2 linked regions of the Coturnix japonica genome follow. The protein of the gene in region 2 interacts with the protein of the main gene of each other region in a biochemical or structural test. Links are inferred from orthologs where the notes say so. Each region holds a gene or a part of one and is shown on either strand. Other genes may lie near its edges. The genes, in order: BDNF and SORT1.

What was found.
Region 1: the proteins of SORT1 (region 2) and BDNF form a complex in vitro, tested with the Homo sapiens proteins (2 studies listed by BioGRID and IntAct, with this or other methods). The link is inferred for Coturnix japonica from reciprocal best matches to the Homo sapiens genes SORT1 and BDNF.

The regions. Positions count from the first base shown.
Region 1 is NC_029520.1:3,055,473-3,071,590, forward strand, and holds the end of BDNF (brain-derived neurotrophic factor), read right to left. Parts: exon of another isoform or gene 16,051-16,118; intron 7,471-16,050; coding exon 6,709-7,470; 3' UTR 5,958-6,708; downstream 1-5,957. UniProt on the Homo sapiens protein: Important signaling molecule that activates signaling cascades downstream of NTRK2. During development, promotes the survival and differentiation of selected neuronal populations of the peripheral and central nervous systems.
Region 2 is NC_029541.1:1,572,918-1,589,854, forward strand, and holds the start of SORT1 (sortilin), read right to left. Parts: upstream 9,637-16,937; 5' UTR 9,622-9,636; coding exon 9,451-9,621; intron 9,362-9,450; coding exon 9,288-9,361; intron 9,170-9,287; coding exon 9,067-9,169; intron 7,956-9,066; coding exon 7,791-7,955; intron 7,341-7,790; coding exon 7,267-7,340; intron 7,077-7,266; coding exon 7,027-7,076; intron 6,946-7,026; coding exon 6,815-6,945; intron 6,745-6,814; coding exon 6,600-6,744; intron 5,546-6,599; coding exon 5,390-5,545; intron 5,290-5,389; coding exon 5,183-5,289; intron 5,040-5,182; coding exon 4,937-5,039; intron 4,855-4,936; coding exon 4,686-4,854; intron 4,308-4,685; coding exon 4,117-4,307; intron 3,226-4,116; coding exon 3,036-3,225; intron 2,389-3,035; coding exon 2,272-2,388; intron 2,185-2,271; coding exon 2,076-2,184; intron 1,993-2,075; coding exon 1,886-1,992; intron 1,133-1,885; coding exon 1,006-1,132; intron 922-1,005; coding exon 907-921; 3' UTR 1-906. Other genes in the region: PSMA5 (proteasome subunit alpha type-5), read right to left, coding at 13,342-13,419, 15,393-15,479, 16,551-16,653.

The sequences.
Region 1 (16,118 bases), on a different chromosome or scaffold from region 2:
TGAAGCCCTGCAAAGAGCTGGCGAAGGGCCTTGCTGGTGCCCTGGGGTGGCAGCAGCCCCTGGGCCAGGCCAGGCTCTGTGTCTCAGCTGCAGCCACGCAGGCAGTGGAGCAGCCCGTGCCCTGGTGGCAGTGCGGTCAGCCACCTTTCTAAAGAGCCCAGAGCACTTCTCTTGCCCTGCGCTCTGGCAGCAGCCAACAGCCAGAAATTCTCTGGCCTAATCAAGCCCAAACCAACACAGTGTGGAATAGCAGCTGCTAGGTCCATTCCCTACTGCTTTATCAAGCCCTCAAGCCCCTCAGTTCTGCATACCTGGCCCTTTGCAGGGGCAAAGATAGACTCTGCAGCTGACAAAAAAAATCTTGTATTTAAATTATTGAATTAATGTGACATCAAATGACCAAGTTAGTGGGCATGGAGGTGGTGGGCTGACAGTTGGACTAGAAGATCTTAGTGGCCTTTTCCAACCTTAATAGTTCTATGACTCTAAAAGAGAGCAGAGTATAAACTCTGGGAAAGATTCAGAGATATCCGGGCTTGCAGCTTTGTTCTGAAGTGCTCCGACACATTGGTGTGTAGGTGGCCACGCTGGCAGCCTTTCACCCAACTGTAAATTATACTTCAGCAGAATGTTCTGCAGTTATAGCCATGTGTAATGCCTGACACGTCCTTTGTTTGGGGTGTTGCACCAGTTCTTAGAAACCGCAGATATTGACTGCGTTAGGAAGCACGCAACTGAGAAGGCTGCGGTCCTCAAAGTGACTTTGTGATGTGGCAATGGCTTGCAGACCTCTAAATTGTTTCTTGCCCCAGAAACTGTTTATCTTAGCATCTTCTTGTACCAACTTCCTGCCTTGAAAGTTCAGGCAAGGCTTCAGGTTGTCAGCCCATGCACTGTATTATTTTTCCAGAGGCAGGCGGGGCTGATTAGCTTCTATAGCAGTTGCTTGCACTACTCTACCCTCATTATTTCCTAGAATCACCATGCAGGCAACCATTATAAGCTGTAAGGACATGCAGAGCTATGCCTGGAATCTGCTTTAATGTGGAGGAGGTGTACACCACAGCCATCCTGCCACCTCTAACCATGGGCAACAACCTGGTGCTTTATGCCCGTGTTTCCTGTGCCCATTTGCCTGTGACCCCCGCTGCACGAGCTGGCTGCCACCAGGGTCTCCACACAGAGTAAGGCTACCAGGTCCTTGGGAAGCTGCTGGCAATAAGCATTTAGAAGAAATACTTTTCTTCCCATAGTCCCTTTTGGGTGTTTGCCTCGCTGCCCTGAGAAAGAAAGTAGGAGGTAGTTTTGTCAGGGCTATACCAGTTTGTACATGAAACATGTGTGTATCCACTGAAGACAGAATGCAGAGCTGAAAGCAGCATAGCCTCACAGGGCTGTTTCCTAAATCAGAAAGGCTAAGGTGGCAGCACTATTTTTGTTACACAAACACGGCCATATTGACTTCTCATTGTTTTTAAATAACAGATTCCCAAGGCCGGAGTCCAAATATAGTGAGGATTCTATTAAGGAACATGCTGGGGTTAGAGCAAAAATGAGTTTCCCAGCAGAGTGGCCTTTAGTTAAAGGTCAGAATAAAAAAAAATCTAATTGGGAACCTTATCATTATAGTTTAAAATATTCAGTGTAGAAGCCAGTTAAAGGAATATTTGGTGCAGCAAGCACCCTCAGCTCTTAGAGGCTGTTCAGACTATCACAGAATCACCAAGGTTCGAAAAGACATCTAAGATCATCCAGCCCAACCTATCACCAATAAAAATAATAAAAAAAGCCCCACCAATCAACCCCAAAACATTTCAGTTCAAGCCCATTGATTTATATCAATCCCACAGTCTTTAGCTACCCTATGTGGTAGCAACTGCTTAAAATTAAATAGATAAGTTTCTTAATCTTCCCCAACCCGCATCAGAACCCCCCCAACTTCAGGTGAGACCTCAGTGCTGCTCCTGTTTAATTCAAGTAAGTGCATTCCTTCCCTTTCTTGTTTTAATTGCCCTGACAGAAGGTATCTTCTCAATGACACCTTAATTAAGGGAGGTGCCCTGTGGAAGCAGTGGACCGGATCCACCTGGGATGAACTGATACACAATTCCTCACCTTCTCACTGCACCTGAATATTGCCTTGCTACTCTGTTCAAAAACCTTTCACTGTTTGCCACTCTTCTCCGGCTGGGTAATTTAAAAGCCTGACTATGTGCCTTGAGATTTGCTCCAAGTGATAACAGCTATGGAATTACCCTTTTCCTTCCCACCTGCTGCTGGGTACAAATAAAGGTTTTGGGGTGCCCATCTGTTCTTTAGTTACCTGTGCCATATATACATAAAACAAGACAACTCAGTGTATTCCCCCATCTCCGCTTCTGTCTTGGGCAAAGGCTGGCACCATGGAAGGCCCGCAGTGAGGCACAAGCATGACGCATCATTGGCATAGAATCACAGAATCACAAAGTTTGGAAAAGACTGCTCAAATCCCCTTGCCCAACCACAGTCCACCCCACCATGCCCACTGACACAACTCACAGTGCCACATCCCCATGGTTCTGGAATACCTCCAGGGATGGTGACACCAGACAAGGCCCCATCATTCCAGTCAGCAGCAGTTTGCCTATCTATTACGGCTTCTGTTGGCTTATGCTAGGATAACAATAAGGCAGGGAGCCCATGTGCATGTGTGTTTAATATAAATGATCATCTGCAGAAGCACTGCTTCCTAGGTTCTTGCGGTGATGGTACTGGCACCAATCTCTTGGGAAATTTCTGAAGAGAAGTTGCTTTGGTTTTCCTTTCTCCTTCAAGTAATATTGAAGTTTTCTATTCATCACAAAGATTTATTGATTTTTCTAGGCTTATGGGATAATTGAATATACAAGGGTTTGGCAGCTCTAGCAGAGCATATTCTTTTAGAAACGCTAACAGTATGTTAAATCTGAGGAATTCCACTCTTGGTACTGTGTGGGGGTCATAACTAACCTCAGTGCTGTGGATATAAATATACATGACACCACTTAAAAAGCAAGCATGAGACCGGCCTATAGCTGTGGAACTTGGGCCTCACGTACCTGTTTATTATTCACAGTAGTGACTCCCCAACACGCTTCCATTATAGCCATTATTTTTGCAGCTGAATAAAACCATTCCTATTTGTCATTTGTGGGTTTTTAGTCTCACGAGGACCTATGGGCTAGAAAGAGATGGAAATATATCCGTTGTGAGCATCCTCATGTTTTATGGAAAGCAAATTCTTGCCAGCACTCCCCTCCCGATGCTAACTGTCCAGCTACGAAACAGGTGGCTATCTGCCCTCCAAGGGAGATTTTATTGCTAAAATAAAGTAAAAATTGTTTTAGAACAAAGAACACACATCTTTATAGTAAAACTCGAGTTTGTTTTACAGTTAGAGAAAAGAGTCACATGGTCCCCCAAAAAACCCCAAGTTTTTTTTTTATATATATATATATTGAAAATATATTTAAAAACATAAAAAACTCTATAGTTAAACATATATTATATTAATCAGTACACTTAAATATAGCTTAATTATATTTACAATATGACGCAGTTGCTTTTAAATTTTAATGCCAATTTCAGTGTTTTCTTTTTTCCAAAAAACATAAAATTATATAAATATACAATAAATATTTATGTTACACAAGGTGAATAGTAGAGAACAAGGCCACAGACATGAACTTACATTTGCAAGAGTCTTTACTTAACACAGCACTAGGCCTGCTGACATGCATGATATACCTTTGTCACAAACAGACCACAGCAAGATTTCAATTAAGTGACATGACAGAAAACCAAGCCCCCGCCCCCAACTCTGTTAACTGAACTGAGCCTGCGATCATGTCTGCATTGGGTCAAGCAAACGAGAGCCATAGGACTGCACTTGAACTACCAATTTCACGTTATACCCGTGTCAAAAGCATCAGCTGACACACAGATTGCAGGGAGCAAGGTTCCTCCCTACATTCTCGCTGCTGTTCCTTAGTTCTCCCCACACACAAGGGCTGCTCCTTTGGGTGTACTCAGTGGGGAAAGCTCAGCAGCCAACGGCACACAAGCAGAAAGGATGGGAGGAGACACTCCATCAGGTGGCTTTGCCAGAAAAGCCACTGAAGAGCAAAAGCCATCTGTTTGTGTACGTACCAAAAGTTGCAGTCCCTGCTCCTAAAGATAATACAAAGTGTTTTTTCTCCATTTTGTATCAACACGGGGGTTACATTTTTGAGTTACTTTAAATACAAAGCTACTCTATGAGAAGCCCTATTCATTTCAATTACTCACCTAGGGAGCTAACAGCAGCACTCAGCCCTACCATCAAACCATTTCTACCCTGCAACAAGCACCGCTGGGACCTATTCCAGGTGAGAATGACTGAATTGAAGGTGAACCCATGGTTAGCTTTGATGATCTGTCACTCCTTACATTCACCAAAGCATGCTTGTGAGTTAGGCTACCACCACACTGTCCCTCTGCAGCCGTTCAGAAACACTGCCGAGAACAACAGCACCCAAGCGATGTTCAGGTTACTAAATGCCATGGATTGGAATATGCATAAACATCCTGGCTACAGAAAAATGGGTCTCTCCCTCCCCACAAGCGTCCAGTCTACATAAGGATTTTCTTAATGCTGATTTTTAGGTGGGAATGCCTCAAGTCTGAAGCTCAAGTAGGTCACATAGTGCTCTCTTCTTGTTCACAGCCCAGCAAGCATGCAGTCAAGACAAAATACAAAGTTCTTTTTACAGTGAGGATAACTCTACTTTGACAGCCTGGCAAAAGAAAGCCCTTTTAGCCTACGAAGAAACCACTTTGTGTCTATGCCAGCCCACAGAAGCCAACAGACAGGGTTTCTACTAGGAGTAATATCAATTCTGCGTTAAATATATTCTTCACATGAGATCATTAAGGGGGCTGATATTTCAAATTAGCTTCGCCCAGTCCAGTTTTTAATTAATCTCCGCAGACAAACCAAGTAACGCAGACTTTACAATACTTATGTCTTAAAGCATTTCCCTCTTTGCTCAAGCTACTTTGTCCAGAGGATTTACAAATGCAGCATCTATCTTTAGTGAGCTCACTAACGAGCTATTTCTGCGTCTCCACCCACTGTATCGAGATAAAGTGCTATGCCTGGCTCTGAAGCTTACAACCTGCCTTTTTGGAACTACTTCTGTCTGGATCACTGAAGCGGTAGCACAAGACCTACAAAGTGTCAGAACCTAAGCAGATGTTAAGCCAATCAAATCCAGCCCTTGCTCCTTGCTTACTTTCAATGCCAACTCTTGTTTCACAAAGGCTGACAGCAGAAGTAGACATGTACATAAGTGTTGACTGCCTCCATCCCTGGCTATCACAGCACTCTGGGGCCAGCATACATGCTCTGGAGCACAAGGCCACACTATGTACACCAATGTGCAAGGCACAGCCTTCCCTCCATGAGGAGATGCACAGGACCAGGTTCAGAGACAAATGCAATCTGGACAGGCTCAGTCAAACCAAAACCATTCCTCACTACTGAGATGACCAAGCTCTCCAGTGCCGTGACCGCCCTCTGATTCACTGGGAGGGTTTGAGAGCCTGTTCTATGGACACCACTGCTGCGCTTGGCTAAGACACTGGATCCAAGCGCAGACTTATTACACTGTTATCGCTCTCAACACTCCATAAAGTACTTTCTACATGACAAGCTCCAGTTGTATGCTGAGTGAAATACTCTAAAGCTCACAGTCAACTTTCTTTGAGAGAGGAAATGGGAGGGGACCCCAAACACAAACAAATATGGTATAAAGAAAGGCAAGTCTCAAAAGACAACGACTTAATCAAAAATAACCCAGCAAAGCATGTTGACAGACAGTTAACTAAGTGCTGTCCTTAAGCCTGAAGTTCAACAATGTGAAGTGGAACATCACCATTCTTTTTCAGTTGCCTCTTTATTTTTTTTTTTATCAGTAGTAGTCAGATTGCTATTGCAAACACCTTCACAACATACAAAAGAAACAAAACCCAAATCTGTCTTTAATCCAGAATAAGGTTATGTGGGTTTTTTTTTTGTTCTTTTTTTTTTTTTTCCTTCCAAATCTGATGGGAGTTCAAAAATAAGAGAAACAGTAAAACTATGACAACAGCACCTTGACATTGTTTTAATTCCAACGCTATCAGAAGGTAAAAGCGGTAAACAGATATAATACCAACAGGAATAAAGATACTTACTGTCTAAAATGTAAACGGAATGTTTTGGTTCGATTTATTTCTCTGAAAGAGGACAGTTTATCATCGATTCACAATTGAAGCAGCATGCAATTTTCTTTTTTTTTTTAAATTATTATTTTTAAAGATCTTTTTTCTGTTTTCAATTCTTGGCAACGGCGACAAACCACAACGTTATCGAGGAATGTAATGCAGACTTTTTAAGTTTGTTTGCTTTTTTTTTTTCTTTTTTTCTTTTTTTTTGGTTTTTTTTTGTTGTTGTTGTTTTGTTTTTAATTTGTGCGCAAATGACTTTGACTTTTGTTCCCTTTCAGGTCATGGATATGTTCAATAAATAGATCGTGGAATCACTGTACTGTATAAACTTCAGTTATACATGCAGTCCATAAAATTATTTTTTACCGAATAATTTACCCTGTTATGTATATATACAAATAGATAACTTTGTCTCAATATAATCTATACAACGCGAGCCCACTATCTTCCCCTTTTAATGGTTAATGTACATACACAGGAAGTGTCTATTCTTATAAAGCGCCAGCCAACTCTCTTTTTGTTATCCATGGTGAGAGCTCTCACGTAAGACTGGGTAGTTCGGCACTGCGAGTTCCAATGCCTCTTGTCTATGCCCCTGCAGCCTTCCTTTGTGTACCCCTTGGGGTTGCATTTGGTCTCATAGAAGTATTGCTTCAGTTGGCCTTTAGGTACTGGGACTTTTTCAAGCACTGTGACGGTTGCGCCAGACATGTCCACTGCAGTCTTTTTCTCCGCTGCTGTTACCCACTCGCTCGTGCTGTCACAGACGCTCAGTTCCCCACGGCGAGCTGGGTCAGAGTGACGCCGGACTCTCATGGACATGTTTGCAGCATCCAGGTAGTTTTTGTACTCCTCAAGCAGAAAGAGCAGCGGGGGTTCCAAAGGCACTTGACTGCTCAGCATGACTCGGGATGTGTACAAGTCCGCATCCTTGTTTTCCTCACTGGGCTGGATGTCCTGATCCTCATCTAAAAGCTCCTCTATCACGTGTTCGAAAGTGTCCGCCAGCGACGTCAGTCCTCTTGAACCAGCATTGGGCCCATTTAGGCTTTCAAGAGTCCCGTGGGTCCGAAGACCTGGGTAAGCCAAGCTGCCTTGTCCTCTTACACCAGCTTCTTTCATCGGGGCAGCTTTCATGCAACTGAAGTATGAGATAACCATAGTAAGGAAAAGGATGGTCATCACTCTTCTAACTTGGTGGAACTGTTGAGGACAAAAAGAAGATGAAAATTAGCTTAAGAGAAACAAAGTCATCAAAATTCACCTAAACTGTCATGAGACATTATGCTTTTCCTGCAGAGATATACTTCATGCGTGCAGCTGCAACTCATTATCAGTGGAGAAGCATACTCTGGTACAAAGGTGTTCCTTTAATTTAGATATCCAGATAAATCATAAGCCAAAACTTGGGCAACATGGATAATGGTGAGTCAGTTCGTATGTGCCAATGCCTTGCTGTGATAAGTTTTAGATCAGATACAACACTAACTCCTTATTTACTGAATGATTACACCTATATTCAAGTAATAACAAGAGCAGAACAGCTATTTAGCAACATAGCACTTCAGCACTAAAAGGTAGCTTCAGAAGTGTGGAAGGTAAGACCCCTCTTTCAAGTGGAAAGGTAAATACTTTGTTTATTTATTTATTTAATCTTTTATTTTAAAGATCTCTCAATGCCAAAAATAGTTAAATCCACAAGAAACAAAACAGCACCGGGATGAACTGCATTTGTACTTTAAAAGCAATCCTCAAAACAGAGGAAGAGGCCATACACCTCTGAGGTCTCACCAGGTCAATCCTTCAACTAAAAGTAGAAGGTATGTACACATAAATATAGAACAAGAAAATGATGCAGGACTATGTGCTTGTAACCCTACTAAACTGGAACTGGAAAGATTGCTCGCATCACTTGAATGCCATGGGAAGGACATACCGGATTACAGCACTGATAAAGCACTAAACTGAAATGACAGTACCAGGACCACTGTGCTGTGTTTCCTCAGAGCCCCACATCAGCCATTCTCAAGCAGGCAAAGCGTATATTCTAGCCAAGGGCTTCACATGAAGACCCACAACAAGGCCAGGCCACACCATGTTGCCATATACAAACGAAGAGCAGCTTGCCTTGTTTCTCTCACATTCTGCCTCCAGTTCTGGATTGCATTACAGGCAATGCCTTGAAGCTTATCAATTGGCTTGGCTCTTTCTTCATTGAGCATAGAGGGACAGCACCAGCTAACAGCATCAGTAAGAAAACTCCTCACCAGCTTTGGAATTAGTGAAACTCATTCCTACCAGCACTCCAAGCAGTTTGGGCTTGCACAACTGCAGCCATGTTTTTTGCTAAGCCTCCATATGTTTCTCAGGGTATAAATCATTTCCTCCTGAAGAACAGAGTATGTACTTACGATACCATCACGAGAGTCCCTCAAATCCTGCTGTGACACAGAGCTATACCTAGTCTGATCCTGAGTGCAACTACAACATCTATCATGTCCAGTGGTTATATTTCCCTCCTTCCCATCTGCACTCTCACCAGTTCTGCTTGCTAGAAAGCAACAGCATTGTTCACATTTTTGAAGCAGCAGCTAATGCTTGTTTCGTAGCTTTTGAAGTTCGCTCGGAAGTACCTCATACTTGGCAGCACTCACTGGAGTAAATGCTATTTCTGCTTGCCAGCAGGGTGCTATGTAAAAAGCCTTATTTCATCTCCTGCAAATACGCTATGGGAAACTTGTACTCTTCAGACTCCACCATGGAAAGACAATCCATCACAAAACACACAAAGAACATGAAATATGTACTAGAAAGGCAGTGCCTGACACGTGGGTCTCAAAGTCTACTTAATGAAGTGTTGGGGGGTGGAGGGAATAAAAGAAAACCAACATACTTTTTGTGCCCAAACCCTCCCCTACTAAACCAAATTCTGGCTAACAATCACCTCCTTCCCAGCACAACTTCACTTTCTTGCCTCCACCTCTTTTCCTGTTTGGAAGTGTTACTGTGGCATAGATTTATTAGGATTAAACAAACCTGACATCTGTGACTCACAGGAACACAGTGTTTGCTCTAACCATGCAGAACATTAATATTTTGCATATTTTTCATCCTGGGATTTTAAAAACACATTTTACAGGGAGCAATATCAGATTTCTTCCTCAAAGGGAAGAAACAGACACTAGAGATGATTTACCACACAATGAAAAAGGCTATCAGTCTTCCTTGGTCAAAAGTGGAGAGGCTTGACAGGGGGAGATGGAGTGGTTTAGCTAGCATAAAAGGACAGAGCCAGTGGGAACGAGAATCATACATTCCCTCTTCTGAGAATTCTCAGAATTCTTTCATATAAAAGGAAAATTTTAAAAAAAACCACAAGCCGTATTGCAACCTCTGACCACCAGAGCACTGAACATAACACAGATCAGGTGGCTCCTAATCAAGTCGTCGTTATTTTTATTAGAGTAGTGCCCAAAAGTCCCAGCCAATATCTGGACTCCAGAGGACAGAATGTGTCTGAGCACATACACAGGACCCAGAGGGCCCTCCAACATGACAGCGGCAGGACACAACACAGGAGGGACCAAGGCAAGCACAAAACAAACAGGAGCTTGCATCCATCAGTTATGTTTGCCTGTTGGAGGCTAAGTATTTGCTAAGTTAAGCCAAGGATACAGCAATTCCTGGAACAGGACACATCCTTCCCCATTATCACTGAGCTGTTTATTTATGATAGTCATGAACTTGATAGGATCCAAAATGACTAAAACAACAGAACTTCATTTGAGAGAAAAACTTAAAAGGAAGACAAGAGATGAAAAGCAGGGAGGTGCAGAGAAGCTCCACCAGGAGGCTCAGCATCCTCCAATTGCTGTCTGGTCACCGGATCTAGCAGCATTTTATCTCTAACATGAAATTAATCCTTCCTTAATTGGTTTTGCCCTCCATTTAGGAGCGAAACTGCTGTCAAGCTTGATCAATTTACATCCCATCTGACGATATCTGACTGTCACTATGGTAGGTACTACAAAAAAGTACAACTAGCCTCTGAAAACCAACAACTTTGACAGATTATTCACAAGAAAATGTGACCATCTTAAAAGCCACCCCTTTCCCTCCTACTTACATCAATAGAAAAGTATGTCAAAGTATGGTTTAGCAGTGCAGACACGTGGAATATCATTAGCAAGCAAACACAGAGATATATCTTTGTATAAGAACTGCAGACGAAGCTGAACAGGACAAGCAGGACATGAGAATCTTCTCCTCTACCTTCACAACGACTAGAGCAATATACATGGTCCTCAGGTTTCCCAATGAAATCATGTTGAGTAAAATAATAAAACTTCTAGGAAACACCTCCATTGTAAAGGCTGTAACTTCTCATAGAAGTTGCTTGGAATCTAGTAGTTTAAGATACCGTAAGCAGATTAAGACAATCCCATTTTGTGGATAGAAACAGCCTTTGAGCTACTCACGAACAGACTCATGGGTGTGCATGATTTCAGCTCTCACATAGTGAGCAGGACTAATATCCTAGCACAGCACTGGAAACAAACTGGACAGCATCTTCCAGTCATTTCTCCTCTACTCCCCAACTATCAAAGCTTAATTTTACATTGCTAGGATTAAAGACACTGGCTGGCTGGTTGCAATAGGTGCCTTACCAACTCCAAACACTGACAGATTACGTACACCCCGCCAATCACGAGGCAGGCACCACATCACCTGCATGGAAGTGGAAAGGGGTTGGAACACCAGACAAATCTGTACTTTGCCATTTTCCCAGCATGCTCCAGCTAAGCATTTATTTAAACAGATGAATGCTAGCTGCCTTGAGACTCAGCCTTAGACAGCTTCCTCGGGTCACACAGGATGTCTGTCAAAAAAGATGCTTGAGACCAGCTTCCTAAATGCTATCCATTTCCATGGCTGCCAGAGCATCCTTCCCCCTCTAATGCAGCATGACGAAACTGAAGCAAAGAAAACAGGTCACCCACCACAGACCAGATCTCAGGAAGACATGACCTAGTTTGTACTTCAATAAAGTCCATACAATTACAGCTAGAATAAAGGCACATAATTGTGGCAGCAGTCTTCACTAATGGGAAGGAGCCTTGTTAAATGAAGGTCATGTCAATTACCTACAGCTAGTTTACATATGCAGTCAATTACTTATCTGCACTGTTTACTTGGTATTTAGCATTTAATGAGAATTCACCAGCTAATTGTTTCATTCCATTATTTTTCCTTATTTTAAGCAGAAATCTAATTGCTTAACAGGTTCTGTTCCCAGCAGAAAAACCTGAAGAAAACTGTGAACATAAACTTGCTTTTCTGCATCCTGACATGTGCCATGAAAGTTGAAATAACATTCAGTAGTGAGCAGATTCCGAATCCTTTCATCTCCAGAAAAGAAGCATACAGTGGAATGTAAAATTAGCAGCAAGATGATAATTCTTTTCTCTTGCCATTTTCTAAGACCTTTATGCAGAAGTTCAGTTTCCTAAATGCTACTGAATGGCAAAGGCACGAGTTCCTACTCTACACATCATTACTGGAGTGTGTGAACAGATACCAAAATGGGATGCATGTCGGCACACGCTTTACAAAGACTTAATGTGCTGAGAACAAACAGCCTTCACCTTTAATACATGCATAACTGCCTGTCTGACGCACTACGGTTATCCTCACAGCTATTCACACCATCTGTATAATTAATTTTTATTACTGAAAATAAAGCACCACCCCCCCTACACACCCCCATGTATACATACATAGACACCCTTGCCCAATTTGTACTCTTTAAGTTGCTTCTTCATGTCAGGAAGAACCTGAACACGTGTTGTTTCCCCCCCCAAACCCCCCTTCACAAACCAAAACCAACCCAACACAACTTGTCCCATCGTCCAGAGGTGGGAAAGAACCCAAAGATAATAATAGGGGATATTAATGCCACAACATTACACTCTTGATCTTTCATGGAGTTACACACCAGTTTCCTACAAACATTCCTCATGCCTTTCTGGGTGGTCAAACAGCAATACAAAGGGCACACTTGCTTCAAAACTCTCACGAGGAATTCAGCTGCTCTTACATGAGCAGACTGGCCAGGCTCTTCATTACAAGTGTGCCTGCAGTTTACTTGGCAAAGTGCAGGTCTGAAGGAGTTCCCAGCAGGATTTCTGTCAGCCAGATCTTGGACCCAAGCTGCCCATACCAGGAAACAGGCACAATAAGTTTTGGCAGTATGCACAGGCAAAGGAATAGCAGACCAGGCTCACAGATGGTATCAGAGCTTTCAGAGAGACAACACCCATAGAAGAGAACAGATGTGCACTATTTTTATACATTCACAATGGGAGTTGCTGGTAGAGCCCATGGCACACACCCTGCTTTTCCAGCTGTTTGTACAGCATCCCACACAAGGGGCACCCCAACTGCACAGGGGTTTGCAATCATCACTGTAAACAAACCCAGCTCCATAAGGGGACCATGTGTTTGCCACATCAAGCTACACAAGGGAAGCCCTCTTCAAATACCAGCTTCCAGCAGATTTACACTCACCAAGAGTAGCATGGGTAGGGTAATATGCCATCCATACTCCTATTGCCATACCAGAAATGCCAGACAGAAGGAACAAGACTTCCAAGTCTCAAACCATGGCAGCAGCACATTCCAGGTTGAGAATCCACACCACTTTCCAAGCCTGAAATCGAGCTGGTTTAGAGAATTTGCTGTGATAAGATTCATGCAATTCCTAAGTTCATTCAAAAGTAATATTACATGACTTCTGTGAACTTTAAGCTCACCTAGAAGTTATCATATAACAAAAACAACCCTAAAACCACACAAAACAAGAAGCCAACCACAAAACCATTCAATGAAATTATAACAACTTGTTGAGATACTATCTAGATCCTCCACGAAAGCAAATAATTACAGTTCTCCAAAATCATTCACTCCAATTGCCACTAGAGTTTCATATAATGCTAACCCAACCTGTGCATTAAAGAACAGTAGGGCAGAGTCTCAGACCTTGGTGCAACACATGTGGTTTGCCTTTCATTTTACTCTTCAGTATGCAGCACTGTGCTGAATCACCACAGGACAATGCTATTCTGCCAAGTACATGCATGAAGCTCCCACTGAAGCCGAGGATAATTGGCATTTGAGAACAGGAACAGAATGGAGCACGTTGCAGGCAAACTAGCATAAGTTGGATCCTTTGTACTGTGACATGTGTCCAGCAGCCCTCCAACAACCCAGAAGCTGCTGTACCAGTAAAGCTCGCGTCTTACAAGCGCCTATAAACTACTGAACAGCGTGTAAAGCATCCCACGCACCCATCAGCTCCGCTGCAAATAGCAAGTGTCCTAGGACCTGTAGAACATTATGCACTCAACATGAATGTAAGAGAAGCTTAGCCAAGGAAAAGCAATGGTTAAGACAGTTAAAGCATCAGACAGTTACCCATGGCTGGGGCAGACAGTGCTTCCTCTACAGCAAGGGCTATACCCACTTCTGTTTTAAACACTTACTTTTGCTGAACTCCTGAATGTGTGTGGCATCGCTGTAAGGGAATACCTTGCTTTTAGCCATAGTCAGTCCTCGAAACGAAGCTGATCTGCACTGTGATGTGCATGAACCAGAAACTGGAAATGCCTGTTGTCAGACTCCTGACAGGTATTAACAATATGCCTGCTTCGCCAGTAGTGTTATCAGTCATCTTTTGGCTGCCTGCCCTCATGTGCAGACTTTTCTCAACACATGCTCAATTCAGCTGTTAGCACAGCATCTCTGTGGAAATACTTCCCCTACACGAACAAGAGATACGAGGTACCAGAACACCTTCTAGAAGTACTGGAATCCAAAGTTACACAAGAACTACTGGACCAGGAAAAGAAATCCGCAAGTTCACAAAGCCACCTCTATATGCACTAAGGGAGTAATGGACAGCTTCTATTTAACTGCCATTCTTTTATTTAAACACCATCAGGTGGGTCAGCAACTTAACCCATCTGGTTAGGCAGCCAGCCCCGCACCTGTCCCACTGTAAGAATTGTTTTATCTTCGGAGATAGCATTGTGTTGTGAAGTTAATGTATTAGCATAACTACTGAAAAGCCTTTGGCAAGAACTGCCGTCTCCACCACTAATACTTTATTTTGACAATGCAGCACATCACAGCTTTCAAAGCATTGTACTTTTCAGCCTGCTTTTCCTCCCCCCACCCCCTCCCGTGTGATATCATGTTGAAACAAGGTTGCTGCTATCACTGTTGGATTCTCTGTTCGTAACCAACTTTAAAAATTCAGGGGCCAGTTTCAACTGGATTGAGAAGGATACGAGTTTCACAGACAACACTACTTCCAGATTCCCCTAACTGGCAAGCGAGTAGCTGAGACCACCGAAATAAGCTTTCCCCTCCATCCCTAGCTGGGCAAACCTTAACAGCTCAGCAGCAGCTGGGCAAGAAGAGAGCAGCACACGGGCTTACCCCACCTACATATGTACAACACTGCACTGTTGCGACCACTTCGAATTCTCTATAGAAAAAGAGTCTGTTTTTAGTTAGAGGGGGTGAGGAAGTATATCTGACAACAATGCAAACTTCAGAAAACAAAGTTCAGTAGTTGCACTGTTACAGATTCAGGCATTTATTGGAACACAAGGAAAAAAAGAGAAGTAACTTCCTCCTGCAAAGCTGCAGGTTTTATCAACCACCTGCCTTCTCACAGTTATATAATGGTATAATCTCTTGCCCAGAGGAATATTACACTGTGACTTGTGTGAACAAGGCACATGGGCATTAGGTTGTCCCATCCCCCCCAAATTAAAGTGAAATTTACCTGACTGATGACTTTTCATACCAGTCATGAGATTGGTGGCACCATGGGAAGTTATTTCAATGAGAGCTGCTGAGGCTCACTCAAGTAGTACATATTCCAGCAGACCTAATTCTGGCACACACAGTCACTGCCTGGTATAAATCCATAGCGCTCTATTCATAGATTTGCACCAGCTGTGAAGTTGACCCAGCATTCACACGGTCATAAAATCAGATGGGGCCATCACCTAAACTATAGCTAATACCTATATCAGAACAATATGCAACAGGTTCCAGCAGAACAGCTTCCTCAACCTCCAGACTCCCCAAGGATATGCACATATTTAGGATTAATTACACTTTAAAGAGGAAGAAAGTAAGTTTCCTAGGTGTGCAGCCAAGCTCCCCCCTTCCCCCACCAACATAAGCACACAAATAGCCCAGACATGCCTATAAACAAAAGTATGCAAAACCCAGGCCAACACAATCCAACTTCCCTCCACTCCACTGTTAGGGTGTTTTGTTTCAGATACTCACACCCCCAACAGAACAAAGCAGTCCTGCTGCCAGCGTACAGTCCTCACTGTAAGAGCCCTTAAGCTCCAAAGGGTAGGCTCATAGATGGGATTTCAGTAATTAGACATTCCTCTATAAAAACTTCAATACCTGTCCCTTCACATAAGCAGATCCTACTGCCCTGCAGGGAAGGAGAGCCTCTCTTCAAATAGCTGGGAGTAGGGGGAGGAAGCAGAAAGTCAGAGAATCAAAATCACTCGGTTACTCCATAGAAAGCAGAAAGCTGTACTCCCAATCCCAAACCTCTGCATAGCACTGAAAATCCTCAAACTTACTAACCTATCCAAAATAAAATGCCTTATCAGATACAACCAATCAATCTACACAGGGAGTGAACAACTCAAAGAAGTTGAAAGAGAAGAGAGACCTGGTACTTACACTGCTGAGTCTCCAGTCGTGCAGCACTTCTTACAGAACACACTGTCCAAGCTTCCAAAGTGCTTTGC
Region 2 (16,937 bases):
CCGGGTTTATTTACAGAGCTCTACATGCCCCCCCTCCCCTCCCACCCCCCCCCCAACCACCCAGCTCTGAGTTGGGGGGGGGGGGGTCCGGGGGGGGGTCCTATGGCATCTCCCTATGGAGGGGGCATGCGCCGGCCCCACTGCGGTGCTGCAGAAGCGCATGCAAGCAGCCCCCCCCCTCCACACACCCCATTGATACCATGGGGTTGGGGGGGGGGGCACCAATCTTGCCACCCCCCCCCATCCCATGGAAGGGGATTTCCAGTGTAAGGAGACAGTGACAGTGCTGGGACTGAAACCTGGCGGGGTGAAAGCAGAGCTGGGGAGGGGGGGGGGGCAAAGGGGGGGGACAGGGACCAACACCCCCCCCAGCCCCTCGTTAAAAAGCTTCAAGCCTGAATTCATTATTGCTACGTTTCCCTCGGCCAAGGGCAGCCCCGGGGGGGGGATAAGGCTGGGAGGACCCCCCCCACACACACAGCAGTGTATATTGCTTTGGAGAATGGGGGGAGCCCCCACCCCCTGCATCCCATGTGCTGCTGCTTGGGGGTCCCCATGTTGGGGTGGGGAGCGGGGGGCACCCCAAGGGTGCTGCAGGCTGGGGGGGGGCACAGCCCTGCAGCCTGGGGGCACCAAGGGGAAAAGACCAACAAAAACCAAGACAAAAACCCCATAAAAATACCAAATACCCCCCTCCAAAAAGGGACCCCCCCTGCCCACTCCCCCCAAAAGAAAGAACAAAACCAAGGGAAAAAAGAAGATGAAATAAAAGCAAACTGACCCCCCCCCCCAGCTGCAAAGAGCCCCTGGGGTGAGCTGATGCCATGCTGCTGTGTGCCCCCCCCAGCACAGCCCCCCCAGCCCTGCCTGCCCCACAGTGCAGCTCCTGCCGTCCCAGCGTTGCTGCTACTCCAACAGGTCCTGGGGGGGGAAGAGGGGAGTGTCACTGCGGGGATCCCAGCCCGGGGGGGTCCTCATGGTGTGTATATGTGGGGGGGGGCTCACCTCATCCGAGTCATCGTGGTACCCCCCCCCTTTGTAGGGTGGTGAGGGGGGATCTGCTGCCTCCAACCCCTCGGTGCCGCTGGCCTCAGCGTGCTGCCGCAGCACGGAGTAACGATGGACCAGGAACCTGAGGGGGGGGACAGAGATGTGGGGTCACCATAAGGCCATACAGAGCAACCAGGCACTACCAGGAGCCCATAATGTCATGGGGATCCCATAGTGAGTGTGGGAAGCTGGCAGGACCCCCTCCCCAGCCATGGGTAGGTCAGGTCCCACAAAGTCCATGGGGACACACAAGCCAGGAGGGATTATAAGGCCATGGGGACCCCAAACCCATGGGGGACCCCCTGTAAATGACAGGGATGCCCCCTAGCAACAGGGACCCCATAAAGCTATGGAGACCTCACAGACCCACAAGGATCCCTCCCAGCCATAGATCCCTCCATAAAGCTTCCAAGACCCCAGAGCCAGAGGAACCCCAAGAGCCACAGGGAACCCAAAGCCATGGAGACCCCAAGGAGACCCCATAATAAAGTCACAGAGACCCCATGGGGATCACAGGTATCCCCAGCCATAGGGACCCCAATGCAATGGAAATCATATAGAGACAGAGGAACCCATAGGGACCACAAAGCCATGGGGACCCCCCAAGTCATATAGACCCCTCAAAGCCAGGGGGACCCCTCTGCCATGTAAAGACCCCTTTGGGACCCACAAAGCCCCCCAGTCATAGGAGTCATAAAGCCATGGGGACCCCATGGGGACCACAAGGACTCTCCAACCACAAGGATCCCACAAAGCCATAGGGGGCCCCCAGGCCACTGGGACCCTACAAACCCCTATAGACCCCACAGAGCCAAAGCTCCCAGCTGGGACCCACCTCCCACCACAGACGTATTTCTTGATGAGCAGCACAGCAGCCACAGCACTAACGAGCAGCACGGCCACCACGGCCAGCACGATGGGTGTGGGGCTGGGGGCCACCGCCTGCAGGGACAGCACAGCGTCACCCCATTGGGGTCAGCACACCCCATAGCCACCTTGATGTGGGGTTGTGGGGTGGCACCCACCAGCTGCCCAGGGCTCAGCAGAGTGCTGGTGCATTTCTTCTTCATGTCTGTCTCCTCCCTGCTGGGGCTCTCACCTCCACTGCATTTGTCCCCTGGAATCTTGCGGTACCTGGATTGAAATAGGGTGGGGGGGTTGATGTGCTGTGAGCCCCAGGACCCCCCCGTACCCCATGGAGGTGTAGGATTGGGGCCGTACCCGCTGGTGCGCAGCAGCTCCCGGCGGCCATAGAGGCAGAACTCCAAGTCGTGGCCCTTCAGCTCGGGCTGCTCCACACACACAGACTGGTTCTCAGGGCGGTAATACCCAAAATCACTGCGGGATTTGGGGCAGAGGGTTCAGCACCCCCCCAATGGTGTGACCCCATTGGGGCTGGCAGGATAAAGCAGGGAATGTGGGGGAGTGGGATCAGGTACAGTGATATGATGGCACTGGGATGAGGGGGGAGGGATGTGGTGGCACTGGGGTCATGCACAGGGACAGGGTGGCACTGGGATGGGGTGGGCAGGGAGATGGTGGCACTGGGATGGCAATGGGATCATGCACAGGGAGAGGGGGGCACTGGGATGAGGTGGGAGAGATGTGGTGGCACCAGGGTGACACTGCCATTGCAATGGGATCATGCACAGGGACAGGGTGGCACCAGGATGGCATTGGGATGAGGTGGACAGGGATGAGGTGGGCAGGAATGTGGTGGCATTGGGGTGACACTGCCATTGCACTGGGATCATCCACAGGGACAAGGTGGCACCGGGGTGGCACTGGGATGAGGGAGGCAGGGATGTGGTGGCACTGGGGTGGCATTGGGATCACACACAGGGACAGGGTGGCACTGGGATGAGGTGGGAGGGATGCTGTGGCACTGGGATGGGGTGGGCAGGGATATGTTGGCACTGGGATCACACACAGGGACATGGGGGCACTGGGATGGCTGCGGGGCGATGGGGGCAGCGCTGCGGTACCAGAGGAAGTCGTGCAGGGTGCAGGGGCACACAGAGGGCTGCGCTGTCACGGCGTAGTCGCGGCCGTTCTGGCAGACCGAGGACTTGCGCAGCCGGCGGAACTGCTCCTTGTAGCCCAGGATGCAGCCGTCCGACGGGTCGCGGGGGTCGCTGGAGTGCGCCAGCCAGATGGTGTAATCCTCATCCTCACCTGCAGGCAACGGGATCAGCGGGTCCCTGCTCACCCCCCTCCCATCTCCATCCCCATTTTCCCCCATTTCCATCCCCACTCCTCCCCGTCCCTGTGTCCCTTGTTCCCCTCCATCCATCCCTGGCTTCATCTCTATCCTGCCCCAAACCCATCTCTACTTTCCCCCCATTGATCCCTACCTCCATCCATATTCCCCTCCATTTTCATCCCCACTCGCCCTGATTTCTGTTCCTATTCCCCCATTTCCCCTCCATCCCTATACCTGTCCCTTCTCCCCCCTCTATCTATCCCTATCTCCATCCCTATTTTCCCTGCCCTGCACACTTCCATCCCTATTTTCCCACCCCTGACCTCCATTCCAATTCCCCTTCTATACCTACCTTTATTCCCACCCACATCAACCCCCATTTCCATCTCTATTCCCCCCTCTATCTATCCCTATTCCTCCTCCATCCCCCTCATCTCCATCCCCATTCCCCCTTGTACCAATCCCTACTCCCTCCTTCATCCCCATATCCATCCCCATTCTCCCCTATTCCCATCCCTATATCCATCCCTATTCTCCCCTATTCCCATCCCCATATATCCATCCCTATTCTCCCCTATTCCCATCTCCATCACCATCCCTATTCTCCCCTATTCCCATCCCTATATCCATCCCTATTATCCCCTATTCCCTTCTCTATATCCATCCCTATTCCCCCGCCCCTTCCATTCCCATATCTCCCCCATCCCCACCCCCATTTCACCCCCCATCCCACCCCACACCCATCTCCGTTTCCCCCCCACCCTCACCCCCATCCTTCCCCCTATATCCCCTCCTCATTACCTCCCCTCCCAACAACCTCAGCCCCAAATGTGTCACCATGGGGTGGTTCCCCCCTCACTCACAGCTGCGGCTGAGCAGTTGGCTGAAGTCAATGGTGTAGGACACCCACTTTCGGGATAGGAAGCTGCTGCGGAAGCCCCAAATGCTGACATTCATGGAGCGGGCGCCGGGTTCTGATGCCAACCCAGTGAAGAAGATGGGCTCTTTGGCAAAGGTGTAGCGGTACCAGCACTGCCCCTCGTCTGTGGAGAACCTGCCGAGGGGAGGGGGATGCTCAGGGGATGGAACAGATCCCCCCCCCCACCTCCCTGCAGCAATGGGAGCATGGAGGTGTCTGCTGCCCCTCCACATCCCAACCCCCAGAGCCCCCCTGACCCCACAGCCCACCCCAAATCCCAAGAACCCACCTCCAACCCTCAGAAACCAACCAGAAACCCCCCAAAATCCACCTCAACCTCCAGACCCCCCCAAATCCCCATAGCCACCCTCCAAGCCTTGGCACCAGCCCAACCCCCACACCTCCCAGACTCCCACTCCCCCACTTTCTCCCCATGCCAGGACCCCCAGAACCACCTCCCTATGCTGCCCACCCCCCCTTTCCTCCTTCCAGCCCCTCAGCCCCCCCACGCACTCCAGCACATTGACAGGCTGGCTGCTGTGTGCGATGGCCACGATGAGACCACCCGAGTCCAGTATCGCGTAGTGGTGGGGACCCTCCAGCATCCGTGCCCACGTGTACCCCCCGTCATCCGAGATGTAGACATCAGGGCTCATCACTGAGATGGCCCCCCCGACACTCCCTGGGGGGAAATAAAGCATCAATACAACAAATGAGAGCAGCACTGAGTGTTGGGGATGGGGACGTGGAGACCCCCCCTGTACCGTGGGCGATGACGATGCCGACGGCGTTGGGTTCAGAGAGCGGCACCATGGGCACGTTGAGCTTCTGAGAGATGCTGTAGGACGCGTGGATGTGGAGGCTGCACTGCAAGGACAAGCAGCAAACGCATCAGGGTGGGCTCAGCCCAACACACCCCCAGCCCCACACATCCCCATCCCACCCCAGGAGGGAATGGAGGGTAAGAATGGGGCCACGTGTCCCTGCTTGGGGACACAGGACAGAGCCACCTCCTCCTTGCTGCGCGCCGTCGAGTCGCACGTCGTGTTCTTGGGTTTACGCAGCGGAACCCACTCCCCACCTCGATCAAAGGTGATGACGGACTGGATGGAGTTGTCTGCAGGGAGCAGAGGGGCTCAGCGGGGCTGGCAGCGCGGCCCCATTGAACAGCCCCAGCCCCACATTCACCCCCAAGCCCCCCAGAGCCGAGCTATCACCTTCAGACAGCACGCTGGTGATGTAGATGCCGCGCAGAGAGGTGACGTTGGTGAAGTCGGTCTCCCCCCCGGTTGTGGTGTAGAGGTGACGCTCCAAGGACTTGGAATAAACCACGCCGCGGTCGTCTGATGTGTAGATGGTGCCGTAGCCGGTGTCTGGGGGGCGATGGGGTGGTGGTAATGGGGAGGGGGGTCCCCGTGTACCCACCAGCTCCATGCAGGGAGACGGAAGAAAACCACCCCCAGTGGACACTTGGCCACGCTCCATGCCAGGAATGTGCTTCCCTGCAGCCACTGCCCGTTAATTAACTTCCTCATGAGGGAATTAATGAGAAAAAGTCCTTCCTCAAAGGCACAGCCCTGCCCGGCTCAGGGCGCTGTGCTGCAGAGCAGCTTTCATGGTGCATTGATGTGGTGTGTCAGCTGCACACAGCGCCCACCCCATCCCAAACCCACCTCACCTCATCAACACCATCCCCACCCCATCCTCATCCCCATCCCATCCTCATCCCCACCCCATCCTCATCCCCATTCCTACCCCCATCCCGTCCCTATTTTCATCCCATCCTCACTCCACCTCCATTCCATCTCTGCTCCCATCCTCATCCCATCTCCATCCTATCCCCACTTTATCCTCATCCTCACATCACCCTCATCCTGTCTCCATCCCCATTCTCATCCCATCCAATCTCCACCCTCATTCCATCCTTGTGCCATCCCACACCTTCTGTATCCTTTCTCCATCCCATCCTCATCCCATCCCAATGTTGTCCTTATCCTTATGCCATCCCCATCCCCATCTGCATCCCCATCCCATTTCTCCCCCAATCCTCATCCCACCCCCATGTTCTTATCCTCGTGCCATCCCCATCCTCCCCCATTCCCATCCCCATCCCATCCCCATCCTCACCTCATCCCCATCCTCACACCTTCCCATCCCCATGTTCACCTCATCCTCATGCTATCCCCATCCCATCCCCATCATCACACCTTCCCCATCCCCATCCCAATACCATGTTCAGCTTATCCTCATGCCATCCCCATCCTCACCCCATCCCATCACCATGTTCACCTTATCCTCATGCTATCGCCATCTCCACCCCCATCCTCACCCCGTCCCATCCCATCCCATCCCCATCCCCATCCCCATCCTCACCCCATCCCCATCCTTGTCCCATTCCCATCCCATTCCCCCCCCAGCCCCACTCACCTCCTGGCTCATCCACATGCATGAACACCAGGTCGTCGTTGGCTGCCAGGATGGAGTAGAACTGCTCGTGGCCGACGGAGGGCAGCTGTGCCATGCTCCAGCTCTCCCCTTGGTCCAGCGAGACGTGGATGCGCCGCGTGAAGCCCTGTGGGACCCACAGCCTCAGCCCAGCCCTGTGTATGCTGACGGGGGGGACGCAGGGAGGGGACAGCCACCTTCTCGGTCATGACGGAGGCGAAGAGGAAGCGGCCGCCCAGCCCGAAGGAGTAGATCTTGGTGCCGATCACTTTGAAGGTCTTGCCAAAGTCGGTGGTTTTCTTCAGCTCCAGGAAGCCCAGGTCAGCTTCTTGGGGACAAGGGGACAAGGGGCAGCGGGTTAATGGGGCGCCCCACGCTCCTCATGGGAAAGCAGAGGGGCGGCACTCACTGCAGGAGCCGTTCAGGTAGGAGGTGAAGAAGATGGTGTTGTTTGCACCCCTGGAAGAGAACAGAGAGCAGAGATGGGGGCAGTTGAATGGGGGAGGAGATGGGGGCAATGCTTGGGGGCAGGGATGGGGCAGGGATGGGGGCAGAGATGGGGCAGGGATGGGGGCAGAGATGGGGGCAGAGATGGGGGCAGAGATGGGGCAGCACCACCCCACAGCACAGCCACCAGGTGGGCACTCACCACTTGGCCAAGCAGACAGCCTTGTGGATCAGCTCCCAGTGCTCCCCAAAGTCCTTGGAGACCCAGAGGCCGTTCTGTAAGTGATGAATGCCACTGGTCAACAGCACGTCCCCATCCCCACTATGTCTCCCATCCTCACCCACACACCCCATCCCCACCATGTCCCCATCACCGACCACATCCCCATCCTCACTACATCCCCATCCCCAACCATGTCTCCAATCACCACCACGTCCCCCATCCCCAACCACATCCTCATCCCCACGTCCCCCACCCTCACCCACCTCCCCCTCCCTCACCACATCCCCCATCCCCACCATGACCCCATCCCCAACCATGTCCCCATCCTCACTACATCCCCAACCACATCCTCATCCCCATCACATCCCCAACCATGACCCCATCCCCACAATATCCTCCAACCTCAACCATATCCCCCATCCCCATCACATCCCCTACCCTCACCCACATACCCCATGCCCACCACGTCCCCCTCCCCACCATATCCCCCCCCATGTCCGTACATCAGTGCTGAGCGCCAGCAGACGGTCGGAGTCCTGGGGGTGGTACGAGATCTGTGCCAGGGGGTGGAAGGGCAGCTCCGTCTGCACAAAGTTCTTGGCAAAGTCAGACGAGCGGAAGATGCGGCCGCCGCGACTGCCACCAGATACATCACCCGTCAGGATGACCTGGGGTGGGACACAGCACCGCGCTCAGCACCGCGCCAGGGGAAACTCAGCCAGGGACAGGGGGAGGGTCAGGGGCTGGATTAACAGGTAGGGGACAGGTTAGGGTTAGGGCTTCAGTTATGGGTTTGGGTTAGGGGTAGGGGTCAATGGCAGGGGTTGGGGTCGAGGTTTCAGTTCAGGGTTGGGTTAGGGGTCAGTGGTTGGGGTTGGGGGCTTGGGTCAGGGTTTCAGTTAGGGGTTTGGGTTAGGGATCAATGATTGGGGATGGGGGTTTGAGTTGGGGGTCAGTGGCTGGGGTTGGGGGTTTGGGTTAGAGGTAGGGGTCAATGGTTAGGGTTGGGGGGTTTGGGTTGAGGTTTCAATTGGGGGTTTAGGTTTGGGGTCAATGGCTGGGGTTGGGGTTCAGTTCAGGGTTTGAGTTAGGGGTCAATGGTTGGGGTTGGGGGTTTGAGTTGGGGGTCAGTGGCTGCGGTTAGGGGCTTGGGTTGGGGTTTCAGTTAAGGGTTTGGGTTAGAGGTAGGGGTCAATGATTGGGGCTGGGGGTATGGGTTAGGAGTAGGGGTTAACAGTTGGACTTGGGGGTTTGGGTTAGGGGTCAGTGGTTGGGGTTGGGTTAGAGATAGGGGTCAGTGGTTAGGGTTGGGGGTTTAGGTTGAGGTTTCAGTTGGGGTTTTAGGTTAGGGGTCAATAGTTAGGATTGGGGGCTTGGGTTGGGGTTAATGGTTGGAGTTGGGGGTTTGGGTTAGGGGTCAATGGCTGGGGTTGGGGTTTCAGTTTGAGGTTTGGGTTTGGATTAGGGGTCAATGATTGGGGTTGGGGGTATGGGTTAGGAGTAGGGGCAAACAGTTGGGGTTTGACGTTTGGGTTAGAGATAGGGGTCAGTGGCTGGGGCTTGGGTTGGGGTTTCAGTTAGGGGTTTGGGTTAGAGGTAGGGGTCAATAGTTGGGGTTGGGGGTATGGGTTAGAGATAGGGGTTAACAGTTGGAGTCGGGGGGTTGGGTTAGGGGTCAGTGGTTGGGGGGTTGGGTTGGGGTTTCAGTTAGGGGTTTGGGTTATGGGTAGGGGTCAGTGGCTGGGGTTGGGGGTTTGGGGCAGGGTGTGGGGCTCCCACCTTCCCCGAGTTATCAGGGCTGATGGCCATGCCGAACTCGGTGCGGATGAAGGTGTTGTTGATGAGGTTGGTGATGTCCTTGAAGGTCTTCCCATAGTCCTCACTGTACGGGGACGGCACAGGGCTCAGCTGTCAGCACCACCAGGACCCCCCAGCAGCCCATACTGCCTGCAGGGCCCCACTCCCCACATTAGATTGGGGTCTGGGGGGTGTATCGATACCTGCGGTACAGCTTGGACTGCCCAGAGATCACAATCACCCAGGGCACCTGGAACGTGGTCAGCACCAGGATGACCTGCGGGATCACAGCGTGTTCAGCTCATCACAGGGGGGTCTGCAGCCCCCACAGCCCCTCAATGGGGCGGCACCCCCTGCACATCTTACCCCAGTGCTGTCGCCCACCCAGGACAGGGACACGGAGCCACTGAGGTCATCGAAGACGCACTGAGAGAAAGAGAAGGAGATGGGGAGGAACAGAACAGCCTTCAGTGTGAGCAGGGAATGGGGGTCACGGGCAGGGGGGGACCCCAACCATGGGAGGTGGATACAGGGCATGGGGATGTGGGGATCAAGGGGGTGTGGGGTGGATGTGGGGATGTATATGGGGATATAGGGATGGATATGGGGATATAGGGATGGATATGGGGATGTATATGGGGATATAGGGATGGATATGGGGATACAAGGAATGGATGGTGGGGATTGTATATGGGGACTATAGGGATGTATATGGGGAATTATAGGGGAGTATATGGCGGATATAGGGGACTGTATGATGGATGCGATATAGGGATTGTGTCACATGGGGAATGATGGGATGATATAGGGCGATCAGGATGTAATACTGGGGGATGGATTGTGGGATATAGAAATGTAATATAGGGATGTTATGGGGGATATAGGGATGTAATAGTATGGATGTTATATGGGATGTAATATGGGGATATAGGGATGGATGTGGGGATGTTATATTGGGTGGTATAGGGAAATAGGGAATGGAGCTTCTTGGGAATATACGGGATGTATATGGGAATATAGGGATGGATATAGGGATGTATTATGGGGTTCGACTCTCTTGCACCGCCCCCCCCCGGATATAGGGACTGATATGGGGTATGTATAGGGATGTTATGGGGATGTTATATGGGGATATAGGGATGGATATAGGGATGTATACTGGGGAATATAGGGATGGGATATAGGGATGATATGGGATATCAGGGAATGATAGTGGGGATATAAGGGATGTATATGGGGATGGATATGGGGATATAGGGATGGATATAGGGATGTATATGGGGATATAGGGATGTATATGGGGATATAGGGATGTATATGGGGATATAGGGATGGATATAGGGATGTATATGGGGATATAGGGATGGATATAGGGATGCATATGGGGATGGCTGTGGGGACCGGCAATGGGGCATGGGAGGGATCACGCTAAAGGATGAATAAATGGCACGGCCACCGTCACGCCGTCCGGGGAGCCCGCATCAGCGGTCGGTGGCCTGGCGGCGCGTCCCTTACAAGGTAAAGGGAGAGAACGGGACGGAACGAACTGAGCGGGGACACGGACGGGGGACACCGGGCAGCAACCGGCCCACATCCCGCTCCCGGGTGTCAATTAGCGGCAATTAACGACCGGCCGGGCGGCAAGAGCGGGGCGCGCCCTGCGGGGAGCGCGGGGTGGGGGGGGGTTAGAATGGGGGACCGGCTTGTAACGTGTGTCGTTGTGTCCAACGGTGACACCGACAGCCCGGTCCTGTCTGTCTGTCCGTCTGTCCGGTGTCTGTCGTCTGTCCCCTGTCGTCCTAATCGGTCTGTCGGGTCTGTTATGTTGTTCTGTGCCTGTCTGTCGCTGTCGTTCCTCCCCCTCGCCGGTCGCTTCTGTGTCCGCTTGTCCCGTCCCGTTGTCCCGTGACCGCCGGTGTCCGTCCGTCCCCATCCCGTTCCCCGCGTCGCTCACCTGTTGCGTGTTGTGTTTCCCAGCACGGCCGTGACGTCCCCTCCAATCCCCGCTTATCCGCCGTTTCCTGCCGCCCCCCGCCGGTGCTCGGCCGCACCGACACCAGCCCCAATAGCCGGGCTTCCAGCACCGAACCGCACCAGCCGGCAGCCGCCCCGCGCGGGACCATGGCGACTCCGGCGCCGCCGCCGCCGCGCCCGCATCGCCGGCCTGGCCGCCGGCCCCTCCCCGTCCGCCACAACCCCATTGGTTAACGGGGGGGATATGCCTTCCATCGTCACGCCCCTCTCGCCACGCCCCGCCGCGTGTTGGTTCTAAGGATGTCGCTCAACGCCGGCTAACCGCGTCCGCAGCGGTGGCGTTTCCGATTGGTTCACTTTCTGTGTCCAATCACAGCCATCCTCCTCTCGCTATTGGCTCGCTGTGCTTAGTCCGATGGGGGCGAGCCCGCCCCCCTCATCGACCGGCCATGGGCTCAGATCCACCTAACGACAGCGCGCTGATTGGCGGAGCGGGGGGCGGCAGAGCGGATTTTTTTGATTGGTCGAGGCGACAGGTAGCAGGGCGAGGGGGGGGCACGAGGAGTGGGGTTGGGGCACAGAGTGGTAGTTATGGGGTACAGGGCATGGTTAATGGGGTATAAAGAGCGTGGTTATGGGGTATAGAGGTGTGGTTATGGGGTAAAGAGAGCGTGTTATGGGGTATAGAGTGTGGTTTGGGTACAGGGCATGGTTTATGGGGGTATAGAGTATGGTTATGGGTACAGGGGCATGGTTTAGGGGTATAGAGCGTGGGTTATGGTATAGAGTGTGGTATATGGGTATAGAGTGTGGTTGGGTACAGGGCATGGCTTATGGGGTATAGAGCGTGGTTATAGAGCACAGAGCATGGTACAGAGCATGGTTATGGGGTATAGAGTGGTTATGGGGTATAGAGCGTGGTTATGGGGTATAGAGTGTGGTTATGGGGTATAGAGCGTGGTTATGGGGTATAGAGCGTGGTTATGGGGTACAGGGCATGGTTATGGGGTATAGAGCGCGGTTATGGGGCACAGAGCATGGTACAGAGCATGGTTATGGGGTATAGAGTGTGGTTATGGGGTACAGAGCGTGGTTATGGGGTATAGAGGCGTGGTTTATGGGGTACAGGCATGGTTTATGGGGTATAGAGCATGGTTATGGGGTATAGAGTGTGGTTAAATGGGGTAATAGAAAGTTGGTGGTTTGGGTATAGAGGCGTGGTTATGGGGTATACGAGCATGTTATGGGCACAGAGCATGGTTTTAGGGGTATAGAGCCGTGGGTTATGGGGGTATAGAAGATGTGGTTAGGGTATAGAGTGTGGGTTATGGGTATAGACGTGGTATGGGGTATAGAGTGTGGTTATGGGGTATAGAGCATGGTTATGGGGTACAGAGCATAGTTATGGGGCACAGAGCATGGCTATGGGGTACAGCTGGTTTGGGGGCATAAGTCGTGGGTTTGGGGTACAGACATGGTGGGTTTGGGGCCATAAATGGTGGGTTTGGGGGCATAACCCCAGTATGGGGCACCAGTGGGTCATCAGCTCCCAGTCTGGGGACACAGCGCCCAACTTGGAGCTGGTTTGGGGTCCCAATGGCCAATTTGGGGGCAAAACTCGCAGTTTTAGGGCAGAACTGCAGCTCTGGGGACACACAGAGGCCCTAAAGGAGCCCCCCAAGGGGAAGCTGCCCCATATCTCCATAGGGACAGCCCTTAAACCCCCCCAGCTGCAGTGCCGTGCCCCAGAGCAGGGCACAAAGCACCATTCTATAGCATAGAACAGCTGGAAGAATCAGCTTTTTGTTCTATGGGGACACAAACAGGGCGAGGAGCAGCACAGCAGGGAATGGGGCAACAGCCCGAGCCTGGCACAGGGGTGTGATCCTAAAGGACAAAGTCCAGGGGCACCTGCAGGGCTGGGCACGGCCCATGTATGGCATGGGGCTGCCATGGGGCTGCCATGGGGCTGTATGGAGCCTGTGTCCTCCACGAGAGGGAGACATGGGTTGAGGGAGCCATGGGTTGCAGCCCTGCTGTGCTGTGCTGTCCTCACCTGCTCCATGTTAACCCCCCCCCTTAGCACAGAGCCCAGCACAGAGTAACAAAATGATTTATTATCGCTTCCTCTTTGTCAGGATCCGTTTATGTACAGACTGTAAATAAAAAAAACACCTTTGGGAGCCTTGTGAGATGCTGCTGGAAACCAAGCGGCAGGTAGTGGGAGGAACTGAGTCAGTTCACTTTGATCGGGGCAATGAGCCTTAGGAGCCCGTGTCCCTTTCAGATGTCCTTGATGACCTCCTCCAGCTCCTCCTTTGTGTACATGTGGAACTTCATGCCCGGCTCTATGGTGGCGAGCTGAAAGACAAGGAGCAAAGGGTTAAACGTGCCCATGTATGTCGAGTGCCAGCGTGGAACACAGAGCAGCACAGACACAGCAGCTGTTCCTTCCCTGCTGCCTGATCTGCCAGCACAGCAGGATCAGTGCAGCCCATACCGCGCTCTTTGATTCCCTAAAATAGCAGCTGGCTGCAGAAATAGCTTTGAATTGACTCAGTCTCCTCATAGTAGCAGCAGCAGGGAATGGCTTTGGGGACAGCTCAGGCCTTTCTCCAGCAGGACGATGTAATAAGGGAGCTCCTCGTGCTGCAGCTCCACCTCCAGTAACTGCAGGTTCCTGCTCAATGGGGATGTGCCTTGGAACCTGCTGTACAACAGGACGGGGTGACAGCAGCACAGAGCTGGGCACAGCGCCCTGCACAGGCAGCTGGGACGCATCACTAGGACATGAGGGCTGCACAGCAGCAGCGCTGCCAAAGGAATGCATGCAGGGCTCCCACCAAGCACTGCTGGAGCTCACAGAGATGCACAGATAACCCAGCACTGTGATGGCAGCTGGAGCACCCCGTGTGTGTGCTGCAGGGAGTGATGTGTGCCCTCAGCCAGCACAATGTGAATGACCAGCTTCTATGGGGCTGAGCTATGGGGCACAATGGGACCTCCACTGCAGGTATCCCAAACCACACCAACCACAGCTCCACCAAACCATTCCCTTGCAGCCTTTGCAAGGAATCACTCATATAAAAGCATAACACCGCTTCAGGCTCCATTGCTGCCCATGGGTTCAGCTCTCCATCACCACGTTCCCAATCCCCCTTTGCTGCTAAGTGGGAAAAACCCCCATACAGGAAAGAGGGAATCAAAAGCAAAGCCCTGCACAAAGCTGGAAAGCAAAGCGGTTCTGTGAGTGAATGATCCCCAAGCAGAAGGGCGACTTGAGTCAATGGTGACCTTTTAATCCTCAGCACATTCCTCCCATGCTTAACCCCGATGTGATTCCTCCATAGGTTCAGAGCCCTGCCAAGCACAGTTAAGCCCTGTCAAATGGGGACGTGCCATAAGGATACTGTACATGCAGCTCCTTCGCACTGTACAGCATTGCCTGTAAGGAGCTGTGAGGCTGCTCAGGAATGAGCAATGTGTGCAATGGGAAGCAGAACACAGCCTGGCATCATTGTGTGGGGTGCACGGCTCCTTCCCCCTCCAATGAAGGCAGTTAAAGCTCATCAGCAGAGCCTCCAGCAGCAGTTAATAAGGACAAAGGGGTGCACGCTTGAAGGCTGTTTGGGAAATGGAATCCTGGTGTTTGGAGGACAGCAATGGGAGAACAGCAGGAGCAGAGTCAGAACGACGTGATTCTCAAAGGTCTGGCATCTCCGAGCCTGCCAGAAATAGAAGCAAACTCTATCTGCCAGCCCTGCTCATCATCTGCCCGTTATCACGAAGGAGCTGGAAAGGTTCTGTTGGCTTTTATGTGAACTATCGCTACCTGAGCAGCACATTAGGGCCCAGCGATGGAGGCTGTGGGGACACCACACCTGGCTCACACTGAGCCCTATGAGAGCTGCAGCCTGCAGCAGCACATTCATGCCTGGAGGCTTCACCTCTCCAGCCCTCCTGCCCAAGGGATTTTTGGCCACCATCCCGGCCTGAATATAGCAAGTCCGGGAGCTGTATAATTTTCATTCCTTCTAATATTACGAGTAGCAGGGGAGAAAAAGAATGGCTGAACACAGGGGAAGAAACACTAATCCTGCTGGCACAGCAGCTGGTTCTGCCTGTGTAAGGGCAGGGGGGGCTGTGCTCCCCCCTGACATGCAGCCCATGGCCCTGCAGCTCAGAACTGCTTGCACCAGCACTGCTGGGGCAGCCCAGCACACAGACCAGGCTGCAGGATCCAGAAACCCAAAGCAAGCTCCCAGCACTTCCCAGTCCACACTTCCAAGCCCTAAGACAGTCCCTGGGCACTCTGCTAATAGAGCCCCAATTACCTCAATGTTGGTTGCGTTCAGTTTCTCCTCCATAACTTGCTTCAGGATGACGAGGGAAGACTTGATGGCTTCTTTCAGCGTCATGGACTGTAAAACAAACCACGTGCTCACTGCGCTGCTGTACCCAAAGCCAGCATCCGTTGTGTCAGCCCTTTAACTCCCACAGCACGCTGCTCTCCCTGCTTCTTCCCTTTAATCCCTTAAGCTGCCGCTGGCAGTCAATTCAAAAGCTTATCAAGCGATCTACTGTATCAACAAGAGATCAAAGCGCAGCGTTTGGGAAGGACCATTTCAAGGATGGTGACTTTCTGCTTCTCTATCCCTTCTGCTCAAGCTGAAGAGCTGGGCACACAAACCTTCCTGGCAGGAGCAGGGCATGAAGGTCTGCCCCCCTTCACCAGCTCCTGCCTATCAAGCAGTTCCCCCCCCAACAAGCTGAGCTCCCAGCAGAATCCTTTGTGCTTTAATAACATAAATCCCTGCATGAGGGGAGCCCGAGCCAGGAGGCTGCACAGCATTGGGATGGATGAGAGCTGTGTGTGCACTGAGTGCAATGGGAAGATGGTGAACGAGCCACAGAATGCAGAACTCCGGCAATTCTGCTGCTTAATTAGATTATGGAGGCTTAGGCTGGAAGTCTTCAAGGCAATCAACAGCATCAATTACGCTTTTCATTATAGTGTTTGATTTCCTTTGACACGAAGCAGGCAGCTCCCCTCCCACAGAGAGAAGAAAGTGGTTATTGAATATCAGATAGGATGAGGACTGGCAGAACAAAAGCTGTTAGCTCCACAGCTCCGAGCTGCACACCCAGAACAATGCCACACGCTCTGGTTCCTTATGCTTCAGGCTGCAGCCATCCCCAGCCCCGATGCTGCCTGTCCGTGCCCATGCAGCAGCATTTATTTATAGAGCTTCCTGACATGGACTCAATTATCACCTGCTGCAGGCACAGCCTGGCACGCTGCACGCCAGGCTCGTGTTCCACAGGGCAGCATGAGCAGACACTGCCCACCGAGAGGCTGCAGCTCTCCTCACGCAGAGCTCCTCCACCTCGTATCTCATCACTGGAGCAGCTGCCAAGGCCTGAGCCCAGCCTGGCAGCCTCAGCTCCAGCACACTGCCCTAAGTCAGAAGTCAGCTCAGCGCTGCCGTTACCTTATGGTACACCTCCTGCAGTGAGCTCTGTGCTCCCTCCGAGGCAGATCCGATGGCTCTGGCATCGCACTGCACGAACGTCCCCGAGGGGTCCATGTGAAACCTGCACGGAGCAGAGACAAACCACACCCTGCACCACAGCACCGGGGCTTCTCCCTTACAGACCCACAGCCACAACGCACACCCAGTGCCCCCAGAGCAGTGCACCCCAAAACTGCCCTCCATGCTGATAGAACATTTCTCCCCCTTGCTGTTTTCTTTAATAAAATCAGCAGGTTTTTACCACCGCTCCTGGGAGGGAGACCAAGGGGAGGCTTTTTTGGGCCCACCTCCAGCAGAGGCTGCTGTTTGAAGCAGCAGTTCAGGTTTCAAGCACTCCGCCTCCCC